Linked DNA regions of Saccharomyces cerevisiae S288C. Changing the gene in region 1 together with any one later gene gives a genetic interaction. Each region holds a gene or a part of one and is shown on either strand. Other genes may lie near its edges.

Evidence for each region. Genes that interact genetically often act in the same process or in processes that back each other up.
Region 2: of SED1 (region 1) and SCW11, changing one enhances a phenotype caused by changing the other (phenotypic enhancement), as found in Saccharomyces cerevisiae (one study listed by BioGRID).
Region 3: of SED1 (region 1) and SCW4, changing one enhances a phenotype caused by changing the other (phenotypic enhancement), as found in Saccharomyces cerevisiae (one study listed by BioGRID).

The regions. Positions count from the first base shown.
Region 1 is NC_001136.10:597,520-602,309, reverse strand, and holds SED1 (Sed1p), read right to left. Parts: upstream 1,518-4,790; coding exon 501-1,517; downstream 1-500. Other genes in the region: SHU2 (Shu2p), read left to right, coding at 1-112; putative DNA-dependent ATPase RAD55, read right to left, coding at 2,622-3,842; phosphoprotein phosphatase PP4 catalytic subunit PPH3, read right to left, coding at 4,228-4,790. UniProt on the Saccharomyces cerevisiae protein: Component of the cell wall. Major cell wall protein in stationary phase cells. Required to stabilize the cell wall in the absence of multiple GPI-anchored mannoproteins.
Region 2 is NC_001139.9:440,191-445,740, reverse strand, and holds SCW11 (putative glucan endo-1,3-beta-D-glucosidase), read left to right. Parts: upstream 1-2,831; coding exon 2,832-4,460; downstream 4,461-5,550. Other genes in the region: CWH41 (mannosyl-oligosaccharide glucosidase), read left to right, coding at 1-2,099; CGR1 (Cgr1p), read right to left, coding at 5,316-5,550.
Region 3 is NC_001139.9:1,047,708-1,052,905, forward strand, and holds SCW4 (putative family 17 glucosidase), read right to left. Parts: upstream 2,252-5,198; coding exon 1,091-2,251; downstream 1-1,090. Other genes in the region: U2-type spliceosomal complex subunit CWC22, read left to right, coding at 1-757; PXR1 (telomerase inhibitor), read right to left, coding at 3,203-4,018; ATP-binding cassette transporter YOR1, read left to right, coding at 5,117-5,198. UniProt on the Saccharomyces cerevisiae protein: Glucanases possibly play a role in cell expansion during growth, in cell-cell fusion during mating, and in spore release during sporulation.

The sequences.
Region 1 (4,790 bases):
ATCTTCCATAAATGTGCTGAAGTTTTTCACTGTGAACTCGAATAAAGTTTTCGTTATAGCAATAGATAATATCGACGAGTGGTTAAACTTGCACATCAACATAGTTGAGTAAGAGGTGAAGAAAAGTACACCGCTTCCGGTATATATCGCCTCCTGATTAAGAGATCAATGGAGAGCACATTAATAAGTTTGTATTAAAGAATTAAGAACTAAAAATAGTGTATATGATGATTATATAAGAATTATTAAACTACCCCTATTGCTTTTAGAAAACCCTGTCTTGAATGAGAGGATGTTTTACACGCAACGCGTAAGAAACATCTTTAAAGAGACTAGACATGAAACGATACTGCTCAGGGCAATTTAGGGGCTTTCCCACAAAGATGGTGGTATAACGGGGCTAGTCTGTCAAAAAGCCTAGAAGTGAAAAACGAATAACAAAAAAATAACATAATACTGAAAGAAAGCATTAAGAAGGCGGATGTGTCAAACACCACCGTTTATAAGAATAACATAGCAACACCAGCCAAACCTAAAGCACCTGGAACGACGACGTTAGCACCGTTACTGTTGATGACAACGGAATGAGAAGAAGCAGAGGATGAAACTGGGACGACTGTGGAGACGGTTAGACTTGGGTTGGCTGTGGTTTGTTTGGTAGTAACACCTGTTTCTTTGGTGGTAGTGCCCTTAGATTCGGTAACTGGGACAGAAGACTCAGGGGCTTCGCTCTTTTCAATAGTACATGGACAGTCAGTGATAGTCAAAGTGGTTGGTTCAGTGACGGTGTAAGTCTTACCGTTTGTGGTGAAAGTGGTTGGTTCTGGACAGTAAGTAGTGTACTCAGTGACTACAGTGTATTCGGTGGTTGATGTGGTTGTTGGCTTTTCAATGGTGCATGGACAGTCAGTGATAGTCAATGTGGTTGGTTCAGTGACGGTGTAAGTCTTACCGTTTGTGGTGAAAGTGGTTGGTTCTGGACAGTAAGTAGTATATTCAGTGACTACAGTGTAGTCAGTGGTGTAGTCAGTAGATGGGTTGTAAGGAGGAGTGGTGGTAGTGTTGCTTGGTGGCAAAGATGTAGTTGGTGGGAAAGCTGAAGTGGTACCGTTGGTTGGAAGACCGGTGGTTGGAGCTTCAGTAGTAGTATCAGTTGGAGCTTCAGTAGAAGTACCGTTAGTTGGAAGAGCGGTGGTTGGAGCTTCAGTAGTAGTATCAGTTGGAGCTTCAGTAGAGGTACCGTTAGTTGGGATAGCAGTGGTTGGAGCTTCAGTAGAGGTACCGTTAGTTGGGATAGCAGTGGTTGGAGCCTCTGTTGAGGTTTCAGTTGGTGCAGCTGTGCTGGTACCGTTGTCGGATTCTGGAGCTTCAGAAGATGTGATAGTTACTGAGCCAGAGGAAGTGGAGATGGAAGAGGAGGAAGTGACATCGGTGGAAGAAGCAGATGTACTGTTGGAAAATTGGGCCAAAGTAGTCGAGGCTAAACCGGCAGATAATAGGACAGTTGATAATTTCATCTTAATAGAGCGAACGTATTTTATTTTGCTTGTCTTTGTAGTTACGACTATAAATCAATAATTACAAGAGAATAGAAAAAGAGAGGTGAGATAATACGATAATGGAGAATAAAATAGGTCAGGTATTTATATGACAGTTCAAAAGAGGGCAGAGCAATGTTCCTTACTCTAGTTCTACCCCAGCCCCTACGGCCAATCTAAAAATAATGCGACTGGGAGCCATACCGTACTAATTCATTTTACCGTAGTAAAATGGATGAAAAACTGCTTAAAGGCTTTTTGTCTTATTTTTAGAAATTAGTGGACAAAAAATCATTTTCAATCAAAAATACACAAGAATGGAAAGAGATGACATCGAGAAGGGATGGATCTTTAGCCAAATAAAGTAATCAATGACCGTGTGTGCTCTGGCGCGCTGGGCCCTCTCCTCTTTCGTAATGAAAATATAATAACAATAACGGTTCTGATGGCTAATTTTAGCGATATATGCCTTTTTGTCCTCGAAAGAAGGCCGCATGACGTGGAGCAATCAGTGGTGTATGGAAGGTAGACCTCGGGGCTAAGCTTTCTCGGGGAGACGGTGCCGTCTGGGAGATAATTCCAACCAATATTACTGCTTTAGGTCATCCACCACGGGTAGTGTTGAGGATTACCTTTTTCGGTCTACGCAATATTATCCATTGACAGTTTGGCGTACCGTACAAAAAGCCGCTGCTGCAGGTTGTACTTCAACTTTAAGTCGCCGCGTTGCAAGTACATTGTGAAAAGATACTGCCTTACGTTAATTTTCTATATCCAATTGGGGAATATGCATGTCCGAATCTGGCAGATGCATGGATCGTTGAATAGTATTTCCAATTCCGTGTAAGCTGTTGCTTACATTAATCCTATAAGGGTAATGGGTGTGCTTGAGGGGATGTGTACATACCACTTTAGGTTCGAGCTGCATACCCCAATATGGAAAAACGTATTCACCTTAACTCCAACAGATTAAAATCCTAAATAGGTAAAATTACCCTTAACTTTTCTTTGTAGTTGTTGGGTGGAATGTTGTCGTTTTTCCATTTTTTATTGTTTTCGGTTTTCGGTTTTTTTATTTTACTATTAACCTTCACTATCATAAATTATCTCCTCCTTTCCCTCCGCATTTGGTAATGGATTATCATTGGAGTCAATATTGTTAAACACTTGTGAGCAACTGCTGCTGCTTGTTGATAATGTTGGAAATGAGGCAATATTAGCAGTATCAGGTTTCAGATCAATTATATCGCGGAGTTGACCTGTTGCTTTATCAAAATCAAATTTGACAATATAGTTACGATCGTCGCTGCTTCTTGACCGCTTTAAATTTCGTCCTTCTCTTTTTCTATCTTCGCCGTGTAAATTAAAAACAATAGCTATTCTCAAGTTTTCAAAGTTTCGTTTGTTTATTCTCATTTCTTTGATGGTAGTACATCCCTCGTTACTCTGCGAGGATGACGCCTTCACTCTTTTGCTTTTCACGAAAACGGTTTCGTCCACTTGTTCATTCCAATCCCTAAAAAGGCCGATCCTGTCTCTTAGAAATACTTCCCAAGTGGAATCCTTGCTTCCCATAGCGATATTGGCAACGAGCGCGCTTTTCAATATATGTACATTGTTCTTACGCCTTTCGTTGTTAGAGTTGACAAAGAAGTTAGATCCGTCGTCTAAAATTTCGTAGTATTCTTCCAAGGATTCGAATTCGTTTGATTGGAAGGCGGTGTTCATACAGTCATTTAAAACTATTATTGTCGAACCCGTGGAATGTGTGTATTTGGTCATTACCGTAAAAATTAATATCAAATGTCGACATTTTAACTCGTGTATAGTTTTATCTATCATTCCGCCGCCTCTTTTACTTAGTGTACACAGATGATCGCAGACTAATTGAGAAAATCCATCAATTATAACTAGTTTATATCGCACACTTTGAGATAATTTGAACAAATTCTGGAAGAAATATAATAGCTGTCCAAATTTCGTTATTCGGACCCGCTTCACATTTTCTTCCACGATTTTAAATTTTTGAAAGCGTTCTCTTAGTATGTTTATGGGCATTTCTTGAAATGTTTCTATCCATAGAATTTTATCGTCGTTTATTTCCGATTGTTGTATGCCTTCTAACGAATTACACACCAATTGAATGCCAAAATTAGTCTTGCCAATGCCCGGAGGCCCAAATATTTCGTAGATCGACCTTGCCTGGAATCCCAGGTTTAATATCTCATCTAATCCTGTGATGCCGCTACTTAATGGCTTTGGACTTTCTACTATTAATTGGGAAAGTGGTATACCAAGCGACATATTTTCATATTATATATTATTAATAAGTTCTTTTCCTTATCTAAAAGCTTTCCTTAATGTACTTGACATCTTTGATAGCGGAGCTTATTATTAGTTAGTCATGCTACTATGTATTTTTTTCTATTTTTCATATCAAACGCGATGAGAAGAGAACACGTGAAGAACTTAGGGGACCTCCGCATCTATAACATATTCTACTGAAGAAAAAAAGGAATAAAAAATAAAAGAAGAAACGGTAGCTGGGTATATATTAGTATTCAAAAGCCATATTGTTAATTAGCTAAGATGTGAAAAGAAGTATGTAATATTACAATTTTTTTTCCTTTATTGCATTATGAAGAAAAAAAGAAAAATGCACTTGACAATTAGAGTGCCTGTTAAAAATTTATAAGAAATAGTCCATTTGAGATTTTTTGGTTGGAATTATAGCATTTCCGACTTCATTTTGTGCCTGAACAGCTTCAAAAATTGTATATTCACGATTCAAATCGTCGTCTATCTTCAATACAGCTGCTACATTACCACAACGATAACAGTAATTCGGTGCCGACCAGACTGTCACTAATCCACCGTCGAACATTTCTTTGTAACCTTCCATCACTAACTGATGAGCTCTAGCAATTAACTCAACGTTGTTTTTCTCTAAGAATTGATCAACTTCTCTTTTACCGAAAAGAAATCCAGCACCTCTTGGTGATAATGACCATGTGTCAACGTCTTCGGGGTCGCTCCATAATAAGTCACACATAGCACCTTCATGTGGAACTTCTTGTTTCCTGTCTATTGTTCGTATTTCATCAACCGTGGTCATATCCGGAGATAATCCACCATGAACACAGAATATGCTATTGTTTATTATTGCCCCCAATGATAAATAATCAAAAACTTCACAGCAGTACCTCCATACGTTACTATTACCATATTTTCTTACTACTTCATCGTAAAATC
Region 2 (5,550 bases), on another chromosome or scaffold:
ATTGGTCAGTGAGAGTTCAAGGTGAGCCTTTGGATCCCAAGAGACCATCTACAGCATCTGTCGTATTGTACTTTAGTCAAAATGGTGGCGAGATAGATGGAAAATCTTCCTTAGCAATGATAGGTCATGACGGCCCTAATGACATGAAATTCTTCGGATATTCTAAAGAATTAGGCGAGTATCATCTTACAGTAAAGGACAATTTTGGTCACTACTTCAAAAATCCGGAATATGAAACCATGGAAGTAGCACCAGGAAGTGACTGCTCTAAAACAAGTCATTTATCACTTCAAATCCCGGATAAAGAAGTTTGGAAGGCTCGTGATGTTTTCCAATCTCTAGTTAGCGATTCGATACGTGATATACTGGAAAAGGAAGAGACAAAGCAGCGTCCTGCTGATTTAATACCAAGTGTTTTAACTATTAGAAATTTGTACAATTTTAATCCTGGTAATTTTCATTATATACAAAAGACATTTGATTTGACCAAAAAAGATGGGTTCCAATTTGATATCACTTACAATAAACTTGGCACTACTCAAAGTATTTCCACCAGGGAACAAGTTACGGAGTTGATTACTTGGTCACTAAATGAGATAAACGCGCGTTTTGATAAGCAGTTTAGTTTTGGAGAAGGTCCCGACTCAATTGAAAGCGTGGAGGTCAAAAGAAGATTTGCTTTAGAGACGCTATCAAACCTATTAGGAGGAATCGGTTATTTCTATGGGAATCAACTAATTGATCGTGAAACAGAATTTGATGAGAGCCAGTTTACAGAGATCAAACTGCTGAATGCAAAAGAGGAAGGTCCATTTGAACTGTTTACCAGCGTTCCGAGCCGTGGCTTTTTCCCACGTGGATTCTATTGGGATGAAGGTTTCCATCTTCTACAAATTATGGAGTATGATTTTGACCTTGCCTTTGAAATCTTAGCGAGCTGGTTTGAAATGATCGAAGATGATAGTGGTTGGATTGCTAGAGAAATTATACTGGGTAATGAGGCAAGGAGTAAAGTTCCGCAGGAATTTCAGGTGCAAAATCCCAATATTGCTAATCCGCCAACTTTATTGCTAGCATTTAGTGAAATGCTTTCTAGGGCCATTGAAAACATCGGCGATTTCAACAGTGACAGCTACCACCAAGTCATGTTCAATAGTAGGACAGCCAAGTTTATGACGAACAATCTAGAAGCCAATCCTGGCTTGCTAACCGAATATGCCAAGAAAATTTATCCTAAGCTATTGAAGCACTATAATTGGTTCAGAAAATCTCAAACAGGACTTATTGATGAATATGAGGAAATATTGGAAGATGAAGGAATATGGGATAAGATTCATAAGAACGAAGTTTATAGATGGGTTGGGCGTACCTTCACTCATTGTTTGCCAAGCGGTATGGATGACTATCCTAGAGCACAACCACCAGATGTAGCAGAATTGAACGTAGACGCATTAGCATGGGTGGGCGTTATGACAAGATCCATGAAGCAAATTGCTCACGTGTTGAAGTTAACACAGGACGAGCAAAGATATGCACAAATTGAGCAAGAGGTGGTCGAGAATCTGGATTTGTTACACTGGAGTGAAAATGACAATTGCTACTGTGATATTAGCATCGATCCAGAAGACGATGAGATTAGGGAGTTTGTATGTCATGAGGGTTACGTCTCCGTATTGCCCTTTGCATTGAAGCTAATCCCCAAAAACTCACCCAAGCTAGAGAAAGTAGTTGCTTTGATGAGTGACCCAGAAAAAATCTTTTCAGACTACGGGCTGTTATCACTATCGAGACAAGACGACTATTTCGGCAAGGATGAAAACTATTGGAGAGGCCCAATTTGGATGAATATTAATTACTTGTGTCTTGACGCAATGAGATACTACTACCCAGAGGTGATTCTCGACGTGGCTGGTGAGGCTAGCAATGCCAAGAAACTGTACCAAAGTTTAAAGATTAATCTCAGTAACAACATATACAAAGTTTGGGAAGAACAAGGTTATTGTTATGAAAATTACAGTCCGATAGATGGTCATGGTACTGGTGCTGAGCATTTCACAGGCTGGACAGCACTTGTTGTCAACATCCTTGGACGCTTCTGAATCTATGTAGATATTTTCAGTCATATAAACAGATATGTAACCAGATATGTACCAGTATGCAGGATGAAAATTATAAATGTTCCAGCTATTCGAAAAGGGCCTCGCATCTCTTAGTTAGAGCCAGCATTTTCAGCTTTTTTTTTCTCGCGTTTATTTACATTTCGATGCGGCTGTGAGAAAAAGTTAAAAAATCGTGGAAACCAGCAACTGGTAACTAGCAGTCTGGGCCATTGCAGCTAAAAGCCAGACAAATAAACAATCGAAAACACACTCGAAACATGCATTATGAAATGTCACATTTTTTTTTTTCTTTTGGGGATTAATGGTTGCGAAGTGAGGTCTTTTCTATTTACTGCGGTAAGATGAATAAAAGTTAGGGAATGTTATTGTTTACAAGCTGGATACTAGATCTCAAAATGTTAAAGTGTAAGGACTGACAACAAAATATGCTGCACCGAAAACAAATTAAGAATCTGAGGAGGGACTATTTAAGTGGAAAGAAAATTGAAGTTCAATGATCGTGTTTTCCTTCTGCTTATCCAAATACACTGTTATATATTAAGGCAACAGTACTATAATCGTCAGTTACGCAACAAAGACAGTCCACTCTTTTAGAAGAATAAGCCTTTACTGACATACCTCCACTGTAATAAATCTATTCTATTCTCTGTACTGTTTATCGACTTATTATTACGCTACACTCATTGATATAATATCTAATAGAAAACCATCATGATTTCACCCATAAGCTTTCTATCATCGCTGCTATGCTTAACTTATCTAACCTCAGCTTTACCGATTCTTCCTAAGAGAGAAGTTGTAACGAGAGTTCACACAGCAAGCACAACTAATGTTGTGACTGATTTTTACTCCACTACTACCGAAGTTGTTATTGCCCCAACTGTCGAATTCCTAATAAGCGATAGTGTTACCTTTACAACAACCTTAATTCCACAAGGTGTGAACCCAACAGCTGAACCAACTACGACTATCACTAAAGTTCTCTTAAAAAAGGCTGAAATGAGTACATCTTCGCAGCCAACCTCTACTTTGCAGCCAAGCACTATTCCACAATCAACCTCCTCTTTTCAAGCAGAATCTACTTTGCAAGCCGTCTCTACGCAACAAACTGCTATGTCTGTTTCTGCAGGTACTAGTGAGGATGTGCAACAATTAGCTACTACTTCTACCTCTATCTCCTCCTCTCCTTCCCCTACCACTACGTCTACTTCCACACAAAATATCGTGAGTGGTGTCGGTGAAGCCAATGTTGAAGGCAACACTCAAAGTCAGCATCATTCTTACCAAGCAGCTGCGACTTCAACTTTGAATCAACAAACGAGTACCTCAATTGCTTCTCAGGAGTCCACCGAATCAACCAATACACCTACGTCGTCCTCTACGTCGTCCTCTACTTCTTCTTCTACTTCTTCTTCTACTTCTTCCTCTACTTCTTCTTCTACTTCTTCCTCTACTTCGTCCTCTACTTCGTCCTCTACTTCATCCACACAGGAAACAGCCGCTACCACCTCTGAAGGTTCCTCTAGTAGCAGCGCTGCTATAACTTCTTCTCCAAAGGCTATTGCATATTCACCATATAATGATGATGGCTCTTGTAAGTCTGCAGACGCTGTCTCTTCTGACTTAACGTTGATCAAATCTAAAGGTATTTCCAAAATCCGTGTTTATGGCACCGACTGTAATTCCTTTGAAACCGTCCAACCAGCAGCCGTAAAACTAGGTATTAAGATTAACCAAGGTTTGTATATCACCAGTAGCGGCGTTGATTCCATAGATGATTCTGTTACCACATTGATTCAATATGGTCAAACTAACGGTTGGGATGTCTTTGATTTCATTACTGTTGGAAATGAAGCTATCAATAATGGTTGGTGTTCAGTTTCTGATTTGATTAGTAAAATTTCCTCTGTCAAATCCAAATTAAGCGAAGCTGGCTATTCTGGCCAAATTACTACCAGTGAGCCCCCTGTCTCATTTGAAAATAACCCTGATTTGTGCAAAAAATCTGATATTGACTTCGTTGGTATCAACCCACATGCCTACTTTGATACTAGCGCCAGTGCTGAAACTGCCGGTACATTTGTTAAGGGTCAAGTTGAATTAATTCAAGGTGTTTGTGGTACTTCTAATGTTTTCGTCACGGAAACAGGTTACCCATCGTCTGGTATTCAAAATGGAGGCAACATTCCATCCACTGCTAACCAAATTACTGCAGTCCAAAACATCTTGAATGAAATGGACTTGGATGTTACAATCTTATCGACTTACAATGATTACTGGAAGGCTCCCGGTGATTACGGTATCGAACAATCTTTCGGTGTGATTGAATATTTTCCATAAGTTTTCTAAATCGAATAGAGAAACATGCATATAAAAGATCAGAAAACAGTAATTAGATCTTTTCCATTACGACATTAACGATATAGATGTTTTACAAATTTGCGGTTCTAATTTCTAACTACAAATACACCAGGGTATAGGTTAAAGATAAAATAAAGAAGACAGGAAGCAAGAATGTAAGTTTGGCATTGAAATGTGCACGAGTACTTCTTACTCTTCTTATATACGGGATTATTCAGTTCATTTACATATCTACATTATCATTTCACTTTGTATATTATAACATTCAGGTAATTATCAATTTTTAATTTTTAGAATGGTTGTTAAAATTTCATACTTATTCAAGTCAAGGAATAAATTAAAATAAATACTCCTATTATTTGGCCCGATTAGTGTCAGTTCAAACGTTATTTGATTTTATCCTTACGCTTTATGTGGTTTGTACGTGTTGATGATTTTCCTATAAAATATATGCGGATTTAGCTCAGTTGGGAGAGCGCCAGACTGAAGAAAAAACTTCGGTCAAGTTATCTGGAGGTCCTGTGTTCGATCCACAGAATTCGCATAATAAGCCATACGGGCTTCAAAAAATTTTTAGTTTTTTCCAGTTTTTAGTGAATAATAACTGTCTAGGGATGCCCTTATTTTCTCCTTGTCAGGACTTAATAATGAGTCCGCACCTCTTTTTCTTCTTAAAGAGATATTTCTTAAATAAAATTACTATACAATTACTGCTAAGATATTAACCATTGTAGGTTATTGACCTGTGTATCTATGAGCCTTCTATAATGCTTTATACCATTGTGCTTATCCATATGAATTTATTTTTTTTTTTTTTTGAGAAAGAATTTCGATCTAACGTTCTTTTAAAGCCTTGTTCCTTTTCTCTCTTCTTCTCATTCTTTCAACCTTCTTAGCATGCATCTTAGCAGCCAAACGTTCGTATCTTTCATTCTCTTCCTTCTTCTCTCTTCTTTCCTTTAACATGGTTATTTTAGCTTGACGAGCTTCTTCCTTCTCATCCTTCAAAGCCTTCAATCTTTCTTTGAACTGTTTATCTTCGAGTCTTTTTTGTTTTTTCAACTCCCAT
Region 3 (5,198 bases), on another chromosome or scaffold:
AGATATAATCATCAAATCTAGTTTGCAGGAATCTACATTCTCTAAATTTTATTCTATTTTGTCCGAACGTATGATAACGTTCCACAGGAGTTGGCAGACAGCTTACAATGAAACTTTTGAGCAGAATTATACACAAGATATCGAAGATTATGAAACTGACCAACTGCGAATCTTAGGTAAGTTTTGGGGACACTTAATATCTTATGAATTTCTTCCAATGGACTGTCTTAAGATAATTAAGTTAACTGAGGAAGAATCGTGTCCTCAAGGAAGAATTTTCATCAAATTTTTATTTCAAGAGCTCGTAAATGAGCTCGGATTAGATGAGCTGCAATTAAGGCTAAACTCCAGCAAGCTTGACGGAATGTTTCCGCTGGAAGGAGACGCCGAACATATAAGATACTCCATAAATTTCTTTACTGCCATAGGATTGGGCCTGCTCACAGAGGACATGAGAAGCCGGTTGACAATTATTCAAGAAGTTGAGGATGCAGAGGAAGAAGAAAAAAAATTGAGAGAAGAGGAGGAACTTGAAAAGTTACGGAAGAAGGCCAGAGAGTCACAACCAACCCAAGGGCCAAAAATTCACGAATCCAGGTTATTTTTACAGAAGGACACCAGAGAAAATAGTAGATCAAGATCGCCATTCACAGTGGAAACAAGAAAACGTGCTAGATCCAGAACTCCACCAAGAGGATCGAGAAACCATCGTAACAGATCCAGGACTCCGCCTGCAAGAAGGCAACGGCATAGATGAAGAGCCCGGCCAAACAAACATTACACATGTAATCGTACATATTTACATAGAACCGTACACGCTTTTAGCCAAAAAAAAAAGAAAGGTAGAATATAAAATAAAAACTCGTATTTCGTATTAAGACAAATATACAGAAATACAAATGAGATCATAAACGAACTAAAATAGGAAAATGAAAAAAAAAAAAAAAGATTAGCGAAGGCAAACCAGAAAGCAGTCCTTTGATATAACAGAGAAAAAGAAGATTATCAAAGCCTTAATTTAAAGTTAAAAATATTGGGTATCGTTTTTTAAATCAAGATTTTTTTTGTTTTTTTTTACAATTGAGTAGACTTATTCATTGGATAGAATACCCCAGTATTTTTCAACACCGTAAGCACCGTCGGCCTTCCAGTAGTCGTTGAAGGCAGTGAATAAGAAGGTATCAGCACCACAGGAGCTGGTAATGGCGGAAACAGCGTCCTTTTGATTTTCCTTAGATGGAACAGCAACACCGTAAGTCTCACCCTTTGATGGCCAACCAGACTCAGTGATAACAACATTCTTCTTACCATCACAAGCAGTCCAGACTCTTTGGATTTGTTCTAGTAACCATTTACCGGAGTCTTGGGCAACTGTGTTCTTGTCAAAGTAAGCATGGGCATTAACAGCCATGTAGTCGGAGTAGTCACACAATTCAGGGTTGTTGATCACAGCAATAAAAGTATCAACAGAAACAACTGGACCAGTGTAACCGGCAGCCTTCAAGGCAGATCTACCAGAGTCAATGTATTGACCGACTTGGGATGGGGTAGCTTGGTTACCGTTAACCAATTCGTTACCAATGGAAACAGTGGTGACATCGTCCCAAGAACCGTAAGATTCAACAGCAGACTTGATGGTGTTGACACCGTCTTGGATTTGGTCAACGTAGTAAATACCTAAAAAGACTTTTTGGTTCGAAGCCTTAGCCTTGAAAACATTTTCAACTTGGTTACAGTCGGTACCGTACAATCTAATGACTGGGAAGTCAGTCAATTGAGCTAAATCGGAAGCAACTTCCGAAGCGGATTTACAAGCACCGCTGGACTCGTATGGGGTATAAGTGATACCTCTGACACCAGAGGCAAAGCTGCTGACGTCTTCGCCGGAAGAACTAGAGGAAGAAGCTTGGGAGGAAGAGGAAGATTGAGTAGATGTAGCAGCAGAGCTGGAGGCTGGAGATGCGGCAGCAGAAACTTGTGAGTTGTTCTCAGAAGAGGAAGCAGCAGCGGTAGCTACAGAAGCAGCAGACGATGTTGTACTGGTAGCGGCAGCTGGAGCGGAGTTGACAACAGCATTTTCTTCCAAAGCAGCAACTGGAGTTGAAGCGGCACCATTAACAATGATAGTGGTTTGTTTTTGAACAGTGGTAGTGACCACAGCACGCTTGTCCTTGTGTTCGTGGTTAGCGGGAGCAGCAAGAGTAGCAGCAGATAAAAGAGAGGCAGAAGCAATTAGGTTAGAGAGACGCATATTTTTCTAGTTTGCTTTTCGGTATGGCTTGCTAGTATATAAACGATTGTAGATGTAAAAGAATGACTTAGTTGGATTTAGTTAGATATCTAGCTGGACCTTTGTGTAAACACTATTAAAAGAATAGAATAAGGGCTAAAAGAACTACTAAACAGAAAACAATTATGACAGAAGATAAAGAATACATATCTATTAGTTTTATAAAACAGAGATCTTCTCCTCGAGGAATGGGAGAAAACAGAAAAAAAAAAACAAAAACAACGGTGCCGTTTTTGAAACAACACCACAAGAGAAAATTTCTGAAAAAAATGCGCGTGAAAAGGAATCATGTGCCTATTTTCCTCATTTGGAGAGGCTAAACGAAAAGGGAAAAGAGGTGCGTTGCGCGTGTTTCTAGGGAGAAGATCCTATTGCAGCAGGGTGTCGCGCGAAAAGCGGTGCCTACAAATTACAAAACCCTCTGGGAAATGACCGTGCAGGGTCGTTTGTGGATGCATCTCGATTAGGCCGGGCTAGGCATCTTGATTCTTTCCCAAAATGGAGTTAACGAGCTCGATTGGGCGTTAATTGATGGATTTGGTTACACTGATACGAATTGAGCCCGTTTATCATTCATGCAGCGGCTTTATGGAGGGTGTGGAAGACGTTAGCGATGTTATGCTTTCCACTTGCTCTACTATCTTCCATCAAACCCACCTAATAAAGCTGAAGGTTTTGCAGGGGCAGAAGTCGTGGCGCAATAAGTTCAATAAATACTTATAATATTACTTACTAGTTTAATCATGTATGTAAAAACTCGTTGCGGTATGCTGTCGTACTGGCACACATTTTTTTTTTTCATTTTTATTTGCTTTTTTCTTTGGCACCGGGGAAGAATTTTTCCCCACTCTATATATCTTGCTGCGTGTGCAGACTGGCCAGCTGCTCACACAATGAAACGCAATGGAATGTTTAGTCGTTTGTTATCATAAAGATCTCATTCAGTGCCTTGGAGTCCATCAACGCGGCCCTCTTTTGTTTTATCCATTTGGAGCGCACCGATAGTCTTGTGTTTACCGCATCGGGGATATTGGATGCAGATTCACTAGATTTTAATTTTGACGTCTTTTTCGTTTCTTTGGTCTTTTCCGCCCTTTTTTCCTTCTTCAATCTCTTCTCTTCCTTTTTATGTTTCTTATGCTCCTTTTTGTCCTTCTTGTCTTTTTTCTTGTCTTTCTTATGCTTTTTGTGCTTCTTGTGCTTCTTTTTATCACTGTCTTTATCCTCTTTGTCGTCATCATCTTCATCTTCGCTATCGTCTCCTTCCCTCTTTCGTTTCTTCGCGTTGGAGTAATTTCTTAACTTGTGAGTCTTTGGATCCCACGTGCTTGCTAAAACTTCACCCTTCACAAAATGGATACCCCATTTTCCGTCAATAATCTTCTGCTTTCTCTGCGTGTCCAATTCCTCTGATATTTTGCTTTCCTTTCCGTTCAGCCTACCAAGAATTCGCTGGAAGACATCCAACCCTGCGCATTCACCATTATCAAACTCGTCTTTTTTGTCTTTACGTTTTAATTTAGCACCGAGCCCAACGTTGTCGTCCTTAATTGACACTTTGATATGCGAAGTGTTCGAATTCATGGGGGATAACCCCAGACCCATACCGGGTTTCCATCCAAACTTTTCTAGAAATTGGTGCCCGAATCTCGAGGTGTCGTTACTCCATGCCGTATTTCTGGGGTCTAAACCAAACCGCTGTTTGGTTCTTGTAGCTGCCAAACCCATTCTGCTTCTTTGTTTAATGGTGTAAGCTGCCTATATGTTACTATTGAGTACTCATCTCATCGCTTCTTTCAGAACAAAATTTTTCATATTTTTTTTTTTTCCTTTTCTTTTTTTTTTTTTCTTTGACTGTTACCCGGTTGTTTATATTTGTAGGAAAACAACAACGACAGAGAAAATATCCTTGCAGTGGCGGCTAATTTGTTAGTTGACTGATTGATCACCTTCACTTATTAAAGTAAAATCAGCATACAAGAGATCAGAAGGGAGAAAGAGAGTGGGCAAGGCTATAGTACTTTGAAGAAAGCATCTTTGAACCGACCAGTTCTCTTCACAAGCAAAATCTATATGACTAACCGCAAGGGGCAAAGGGTTGTGAGAGGGCCCGTCTTTCTCCCGCTATAGCCGTCACTGGTATCCCTCCTGGCTGCACAAATCCGATAGAAAGGGGAAGAAGGAAGTTTAGTGCCACCTTATAGCACGCAGTTACTGTTTACGCTAAGGAGAGGCATACTCAATTTTTATTAGTCGCCTTCTTTAGTTGCTGCGTTTTTATCCACGGTTCTCTACTAAATGCTTGCGATAAGCGCTTCTATTTTCCTCCCCACCGCGAGGCGGAAATGGCACATTTTTTTTCTTTTGCTTCTGTGCTTTTGTTGTAATTTTTGGCATGTGCTATTGTATGAAGATAACGCGTGGTTCCGTGGAAATAGCCGGAAATTTTGCCGGGAATATGACGGACATGATTTAACACCCGTGGAAATGAAAAAAGCCAAGGTAAGAAAGTGGCAATATTTTTCCTACAAATAGATCTGCTGTCCCTTAAATGATTACCATACATATATATATTTATTACACATCTGTCAGAGGTAGCTAGCGAAGGTGTCACTGAAATATTTTTTGTTCCAGTTAGTATAAATACGGAGGTAGAACAGCTCTCCGCGTGTATATCTTTTTTTGCGCTATACAAGAACAGGAAGAACGCATTTCCATACCTTTTTCTCCTTACAGGTGCCCTCTGAGTAGTGTCACGAACGAGGAAAAAGATTAATATTACTGTTTTTATATTCAAAAAGAGTAAAGCCGTTGCTATATACGAATATGACGATTACCGTGGGGGATGCAGTTTCGGAGACGGAGCTGGAAAACAAAAGTCAAAACGTGGTACTATCTCCCAAGGCAT